2 linked regions of the Drosophila melanogaster genome follow. The protein of the gene in region 1 interacts with the protein of each later gene in a pairwise test. Each region holds a gene or a part of one and is shown in the gene's direction. Other genes may lie near its edges. The genes, in order: CG14384 and gdrd.

Region 1 (4,678 bases):
CACCAATCCGGGCTCGCCAGAGGATGATGATTCAACCACAGCCGAGGCGATCACCGAGACTGCCGATCCGGAACAGGAGACCGCTTTCAGTAGCCGAAGGCAGCTAACCAAGGCCTTTGTACACGCCCCCCCGCCCACTCACAGCGATGCCGCCGCCCAGGTGTCCTTCGCCCAGCTCACCAATGGCGACACCGAGCCGCTCATCTCGCCCCGATCCCACGAGATTGCCGTCCAGACGAGCATCGAGAAGTACGAGCTGAGGGAGGTGGGACGAAGTGTGCGCAATGCGGCCACCGCCACCACCACAACGACAGCCACCGCCTCCACGAGCACCAGTAGCAGGCGCAACTCCAGCCGCAACCAGAGACACGCCCATGGCCAAAGACGCCGCTTGCCCGCCCTCTTCCGATTCGATGACGAGGATATAAAGACCTACTCCACGCTGGGTTCCAGCCGCGATGACGACGATGCCGATGAGAAGAAGTGTGAGTATCCAAGAATGCCCCCAAAAAAATGAAGTCTCTCAATGCTTAGGCAATCTTAAATATATTTCAACTATTTTTTTTCCCATTTAGATGGCAGCAGCTGCACGGATAATGGAAAGACATGCTCGGGTCTGCCGCACTCGATTTGTTCCAAGAATATTTGCCTATGTCGCCAGGGTTACTATGCCCGCAATGGAAAATGTTTTGCCGGTGAGTAAACTGGGTTTCCCCCAATTTAATTCTTCTATTAATGAAATTAACTGAAATGAAAATTCTTTAGAACTGGGGGAAATTGCGGAGAGCACGGATGAGTGCGAGTACGAGTTCGATCAGTTGACCAAAACTTGCAATTGCCAAAAGAATTATTTCTACGAGCGGGATCTGCGCAATTGCAGAAAACGTAGGTGGTTCCAACGCTAGCTGCTGAATCGCACTTAAGATATATCCTTTTCCATCAAAACAGCCATTCAATACCACTTATCCTGCACCTCGAACAGCCAATGCAGTCCATTTGGCGCCTCCTATTGCCACCCGGAGATTCCGAGGAGGTGCACCTGCGAGGAGTACGCTCTCTACGATGCCATCAAGCAGCTCTGCGAATACAAACGTGGCCTGGGAGCCGAGTGTGAGTCGAACGATGGCTGTCCTGTGGATCACTCCGTCTGCTCCAATCGCGTGTGCGTTTGTGCGGACAACTACTTTGAGAAGGACGATCAGTGTATGCGTGGCATCGGTGCCGACTGCTCGGTGGAGGATGACTGCATACCTGAGAACACCGAATGCCAGGAGAAGGACGAGGAGGATCAGTCGCGCACCTGCCAGTGCCGAAAGGGATACGTGCACTTTAAGGATGAGTGCCTAAAAGAGGGTTAGTACTCAGAAGCTGAAATGCAAAGCAGCAAAATTATGCCCTGCCCCACATTACATTTCATTATAGCCGAGGAGCTGGAGGACGAGTGCGTCGAGGATGAGCAGTGCAAGCCGCTCCTGGCGAGCTGCAATTCGGAGGGCAAGTGTGGATGCAACGATGAGCAGCATGCTAAGAACGGAGTCTGTGAGACGAAGCGAGGTAATTGAGTCGCTAAGCTTTCTTTAATTATTTGTAATAATTCTAATATGTTGCAATCTTGCAGAGCTGGGAGAGTCGTGCACCAAGGCCACCGAGTGCTATGTAGAAAAGGATCCCGAGAATGTCGAGTGCCGCAACTCCGTGTGCCAGTGCAAGCTGGGCTACTCGGCGAACGCCAATCAGAATCAATGCATTCGCGTGATGCCCAATAAGAAAAGTAAGTGTCCTTGCAAAACCAATTGAGTAAGGATGATCTATGAATGTCACGCTTTTCGCAGATTCTTCCGGTAGACCAAGTGCTCTCAAAATCATCACCTTCATGCTGATTGGCTCCGCTTTCCTTATCACCAGTGCGGCCATAAAGCAGGCCTACTACTAGAACCAAACCAAAACCTAAATCCTTTCACCTGCGTGTTTGGGGAATGGCGAGGATAATCGAGGGAGGAGTTGGCCAAGGACCTTGGGGGGATCGGGGTGATTTGGGGATCGGCGGGAGTGGCCAGTATTAGCCAAGTTACTGGCATGGATGCAGGTCCATGCGCAACGTGAATATAAATCAATTAGTTCGTAAGTTGATATTTAGGAGTCGAAGCAATATAAATTTGGAGAAAGGGTCCTCGGAACGGAACGACTCTCGCTTATCTAATACGGCTAAGTGTAATGACAAATTATCTGTAAGTTTTGAAGTTAAACCGCTTGTTGCTAGGCTAAGCGAACAGTTTTTAACCAAATTGTAATATATACATCATAATAAACTAAGGCCAACGAAGAGTTGTGTATCAAATCCAGAAACTGGCAATTATTATTAAACAAGTAGTTTTGAGATTTCACTTCTATCAGTTAGCAACAGCAACTCAACTCAAATTTGTACCTTTCAATTTTTCAAGCTCGAATGTTTTGTACGTAATTCTTAGTTTAGCATCCTAAATTTCAGTACGTTAGTTGAAAAGTATAAGTAGAGATGGCACCGTATCCAAACGGCTTTTTAAGTTACGCGGTGGCTATACATCTTAAATCCCCGCACCTCCAAATGGAGGAGTCACTGCGTCAGGGAGCGGGGTACTGGAATGCATTGAGTTCGCGAGAAAAGAATCAGTATCGATCGAAAGTAAGTTCCTAGGGATTACACACTTTCCCCCTGACCGGCGAACTTTATCTTCTGCCCTTCGTTAATACCCTGCAGTACCAGAAACGGTGTCTCAGCAAAAGCTCCACTTCGCGTCATCGGCGTCAATCGGAGAAACTCAAACATATGGGATGCGGCCGCAAGAAAATAGTGCCCAAGTGTTCCCGAAAGCCCACGACTCCGGCCTGCAAGCCAAGGAGCGTCAATAGGTGTCCCCGGAAAAGCAGCTCCAACCGCTCGAGTCGTGAATGCATGCTGATGAAGTCACCAAAAGGCGTAAGTGCCAGTAGTTTAAATAATATTAACATTTATTTTATTATTTATAAAAGTTACTTTTAAGTAAGATATATTTTCATGTGTATGTCAACTTCACTTGTTTTGATAGTGAATTTTAAACACTGGGTTCATAGCGAACAAGTTGTCGTTTTCGTAACCAAACAATTATCACCTTGTTTTCAACTCTATTTTCTATTTTTTTTGTTGCCACTCAATTGTCTTAATATTGATAAGGGCATTTTGGTCAAAGTGTTTGCACATTATCTTGCAGTTTGCTATTTTATTTTTGTTATCAGCTCGGCTAGTAAAACAATCTGCAGTAATTTGACTGTATCTTTTGATTTATATTCGATTTGCGACCCATTTAAAATGGAGATTAAAATCTAGGGACCTTGAATTTCTGTATTTCAGAAGCTCATATTTGCATTCGAATCGAAGAGAACAGTAAAACAGTGTCAAATATTTCTGGGTGAACTTTCCGAGTACAAATAGGTCAAAGTTGATTTTGTCGTAAGACAATTGCTAAACTGAACTGCCTATAAATTTCAAGTCTCAAAATGTCCCTCAATTGCCCGGTTCATAATAAGAACTCCAGTGGCTTAAACATGTAAGTTTCGGCCAAGAGATCGCTTTCGATATCCGGCGTATGTGTTCCTTGTGGTAACAATGTGGTTTGCATACAGTACCAGGTCCGCAACCTCGGATGACGTCAAGATCGCCATGTGCGCCTGCTTGGAATTGGCCAACTGTCGGGCCGAAAACTGTCAGCTGAAGAAGAAACTGACCGAATATGAGGCCAAGATCTGCAGTCTCGAACAACTGGTGGCCACCATTGCGGAGGAGCAGAACCAGATTCGCCAAGAAGTGATCGAGTTGCGCAATGAGACTCAGGGTGCAACGATGGAAGCCGCCAACGAGGTGGATCCTTTGGACAACTCATTCGTGAACCCGCAAGAGGAAATGGACGATGAGGAAGGATACGATCCGGATTCAGAATCCGAGTACAATGCTATCCAGTCCCCCAATCCCTCAATACATTCTTCGATGGTCTCGCTGGTTCGCTCATTGAGTTTTTCATCCACCAGCTCAGATTCTGATTGCATTGTATACAGCGATAATGAGGATTTCTAAGAAACCCATCTCATTCCAATCGCATCTTCTCAACAAGTTCCGTTCGCGAACTTTGATACCACACGATATGAGTAAACGACAATGTTAAAATAAATAGTTCGTTGTGGTGCATCACATAATAGTATTGGGCAATTCTAGAATATTTTTGAAATGTGACGGAATAAAATTCCTCAAAAAATATCCAAGCAAACTAGCTAACGTAATCAGTAAAATTACTTTGTCTTAAAAATAGATAACTCTAATATCTTGGCTACTTTCAATGCCGATCCTGTAGTTGCAGCCAGAAATCTGGTGGCGAAATAATCAGTCCATTGAGGTTCTGGGAGAGATCGGGCAACCGATCATTGGGGCCCAGGACGAAGTCAAAGTGCTGGCACATGGTCGCTGTCACCAGGAAGAGCATGTTGCGCGCAAATGTCTCGCCGGCACAGAGCCGTTTTCCCGCTCCAAAGGGCAGCGAGACATCCAGTTTCAGGCAGAGCTTGCCATCCGCGTCCAGGAATCTCTCCGGCCGGAACTGCTCCGGATCCGACCAAATACGGGCGTCCGAGTGGAAGGCATACAGGCTGGGCACGACAATGGTGTCCTGTA
Region 2 (2,822 bases), on another chromosome or scaffold:
AGAGCCTAACGAACTGGGAAATGGTCTCTGAACATTCAATTATATCATCAATTAGTTGGTCGTGCAACATGTTGCAAGAGTGATTTGGACAGCAGATTAGGCAACAGCATGAGACCACTTGGCATAAACAAGGGTAGGGATTTAGAGGGTTTTTTCATATGTACATCTCTACTAATTTAGATTGATCGCGAGCTGTTATTTTAAATATTTAATGTGAAATATGTGCGTAAAAAAATGTCGATAAAACTCGTAACGAGTTTTATGTTATGATTCTGTGAAATATAAAAAACAGAGCTTTAACTGTTATAACATATAATGAGTTGGGTATTGTAAATATTAAATATTAAACGTATGGCTTTCTTATATTTCTTAATCAACTATTTATTTATTCCGAGTACATTTTATTTTTAATTTGTAATTTAACTTCAGTGACAGGATTTCTTTACAACATTTTTTCACCAGATTCCTACACTTATTTACAAAAACTTAATTTATCCCGTAGTTTATTACGCCCGAAGATACAAGCGAACAAACTAGAGCGAGCTGAAAAATGTTGCCTACTTAGCAGCGCAACGAGTTTTCAATAGAAAGCCCATAAAGTGAAAGACGTCGCAAAAGTCAAAGCCTTGCCACAAGCCAAATGCCAAATGGCATTATCAATAGAGGATTCAGCGAATCCCGGAAGATATAGAAAGCCAAGTGTGTGAATTTAACTTGGTGCAGTCATGAACATGCATTCGCAGCTACAGCTCCATATATACATCTTAGTATGTGTGTAGTGCCATGCCATTTATTCCATTGAACAAAAAGTCATTTGTAAGTGTTTTTATGCGTAACGGAATTTATGAGGAGCAGTTCCTCAGCAGATTTATTGCTTTATTACGATGTGGCAGAGCGATGGGTATCAAGATGGGAATCCAGTTTGGCGACAAAGGCCAGAGAAAAATAAAGAAATGGCTGGCAAATATTTAGCACATGGAGGCGAAAAACTCACTGAAAGAATGATGGCAAAGAGCCATGGGAAAAGGGGAGGGTTAAGGGGAAAATGGCGAGAGAATGAATGCTGCATTTCCTCCCTTTTCGGCTTTTGTCTCTCTTTTTCTGCGTACGGATTTTCCTCGAATGGTGGCGGGCTGTGGGTGGAACGGGTGGACGGAATGGGGTGGACCTTGAGGGCGTTTCACATCGTCGACATCGTCATCAGCATCATTCTCATTGCAGTCGTTAAGTTATAGACTTTGATTTCGTTCGCCTCGTTCAGCTGTGGGGAAACTTTTATCCTCACTGCCACCCAAAGTGCGTCCTTTTTGGCAGAGTCGTTTCAGAGATTTATTTGCCTTGTGCCCTGGCAACTTTCGACTCTCGACATCCATATCCGTATCGTTTGCTCTCCTCGCTCTTAAATTGCTTTAATTGATTTCTGATTTTATGACCCTGCTGAACACATTTCACACATGATTACATGCCAAGTGGGTTGCGATTTCTTAAGAGGTTTTAAATCCGTCTATTCTTAATTTTGAAGATAATTAAAACGTTGGTTTTAAATAAAAAATATAGTTTGATGTGTCGCTTAATTAAAAATGTTTCAACGTTGTGACCATCTACTCATATTTATGGAGTTTGGATTAATACTATTGTTTATTGTATAGAGTTACTATATCAAACATGCTGCTCTCGATTTTGTTGTCAGTATAAATTCTGTCTTTGATCTGTTTGCACTTAAGTCTGTTCTAGTTCACAGCTCCTGAATAACTATTGAAATTTCTGAAATATATTTTTTTTGTCAAAATGTCGGACGACGGATCTGATATATTCCAAGACCTTGAAAGCTACGAGCCCTATACAGAAGGTAGCCAAAACAATAGTGACGAAGCAACTGCAGTGGGGCCTCTCGATACCTCTGAGGACGCTCGCTTCTCCGAGCAGGTATTCTCGAACATTCAGGAGCGTCTGAACCGAATCATTAATCGCATTAGCATGGCCAACTCTGCCGTGGTCCAGATGAAGAGGAAGCTCCATGCTCGAATTCCATCCGTACCTGTTGGCGAAAACGCCGACCAGTTGGCTGGAGGCGATAATCCAATGCGATTTGAAAACGTCGAACAAGAAAACGAAACCACCAACCAATGATATAAGAACATTTTTATATTTCTCATTTTCAAAAATGTATAAATTTATTGTATTTATTTATTGTTATTGTTATTGAAGCCCATTTAACAAATCACAAACAGACCCGAGTTAATTGTTAAAAAATTATGCATTAACACAAGCCAAGGATTCGAAAACTAAGCGCATATAATAAACTGAGCAATGAGCAAAAGCAATACATTGTATACTGCCCTTATCGCCATAATCTAAACTATTTTCAACGATATTTGCAATTTATTAGTGGCCCTCCACACACAATTGCCAAACTTGCTTTCATTCGGTCCACAAACTTTGTGGACTTCTTTTCGGCGCATAATAAACTTTTCATTGACCGCCCTTCAAAAATGTTACCCCAAGCAATTTCGAGCAGCTGCATATTGTCAGGGGGCCTTTTGTTTTGTCGAAAACTTTGCAAAGTCGGAAAATTTGAGACTGAAATTTGCATTTGCCTTTCGCCACATTCACATAGAAAGACGAATTGCCTTGGAGCCAAACAAATATGTTAAAAGCAATAAATAAGAAAGGACATTCTTCAAGTTCGTCGTCTGCCGCTCGAGATATTGGCAAAACGTATTATATGCGATAAATTTCGACAGAAAGCTGAAGTCCGATACTTATCAGTGGAAATGAAGCCAAACATAATTTGCCATAAAATGCCGTTGCAGCGGCATTAA

The links.
Region 2: the proteins of CG14384 (region 1) and gdrd interact in a two-hybrid assay, tested with the Drosophila melanogaster proteins (one large-scale study listed by BioGRID).

The regions. Positions count from the first base shown.
Region 1 is NT_033777.3:12,965,438-12,970,115, reverse strand, and holds CG14384 (uncharacterized protein), read left to right. Parts: upstream 1-2,403; 5' UTR 2,404-2,515; coding exon of another isoform or gene 2,516-2,662; intron 2,663-2,737; coding exon of another isoform or gene 2,738-2,956; intron 2,957-3,367; 5' UTR 3,368-3,513; coding exon 3,514-3,563; intron 3,564-3,639; coding exon 3,640-4,087; 3' UTR 4,088-4,178; downstream 4,179-4,678. Other genes in the region: CG7381 (uncharacterized protein), read left to right, coding at 1-485, 576-695, 766-885, 949-1,353, 1,423-1,554, 1,619-1,771, 1,833-1,933; Cyp304a1 (cytochrome P450 304a1), read right to left, coding at 4,344-4,673; grsm (granny smith), read left to right, coding at 2,516-2,662, 2,738-2,956.
Region 2 is NT_037436.4:14,689,641-14,692,462, forward strand, and holds gdrd (goddard), read left to right. Parts: upstream 1-1,706; 5' UTR 1,707-1,788; coding exon 1,789-2,130; 3' UTR 2,131-2,322; downstream 2,323-2,822.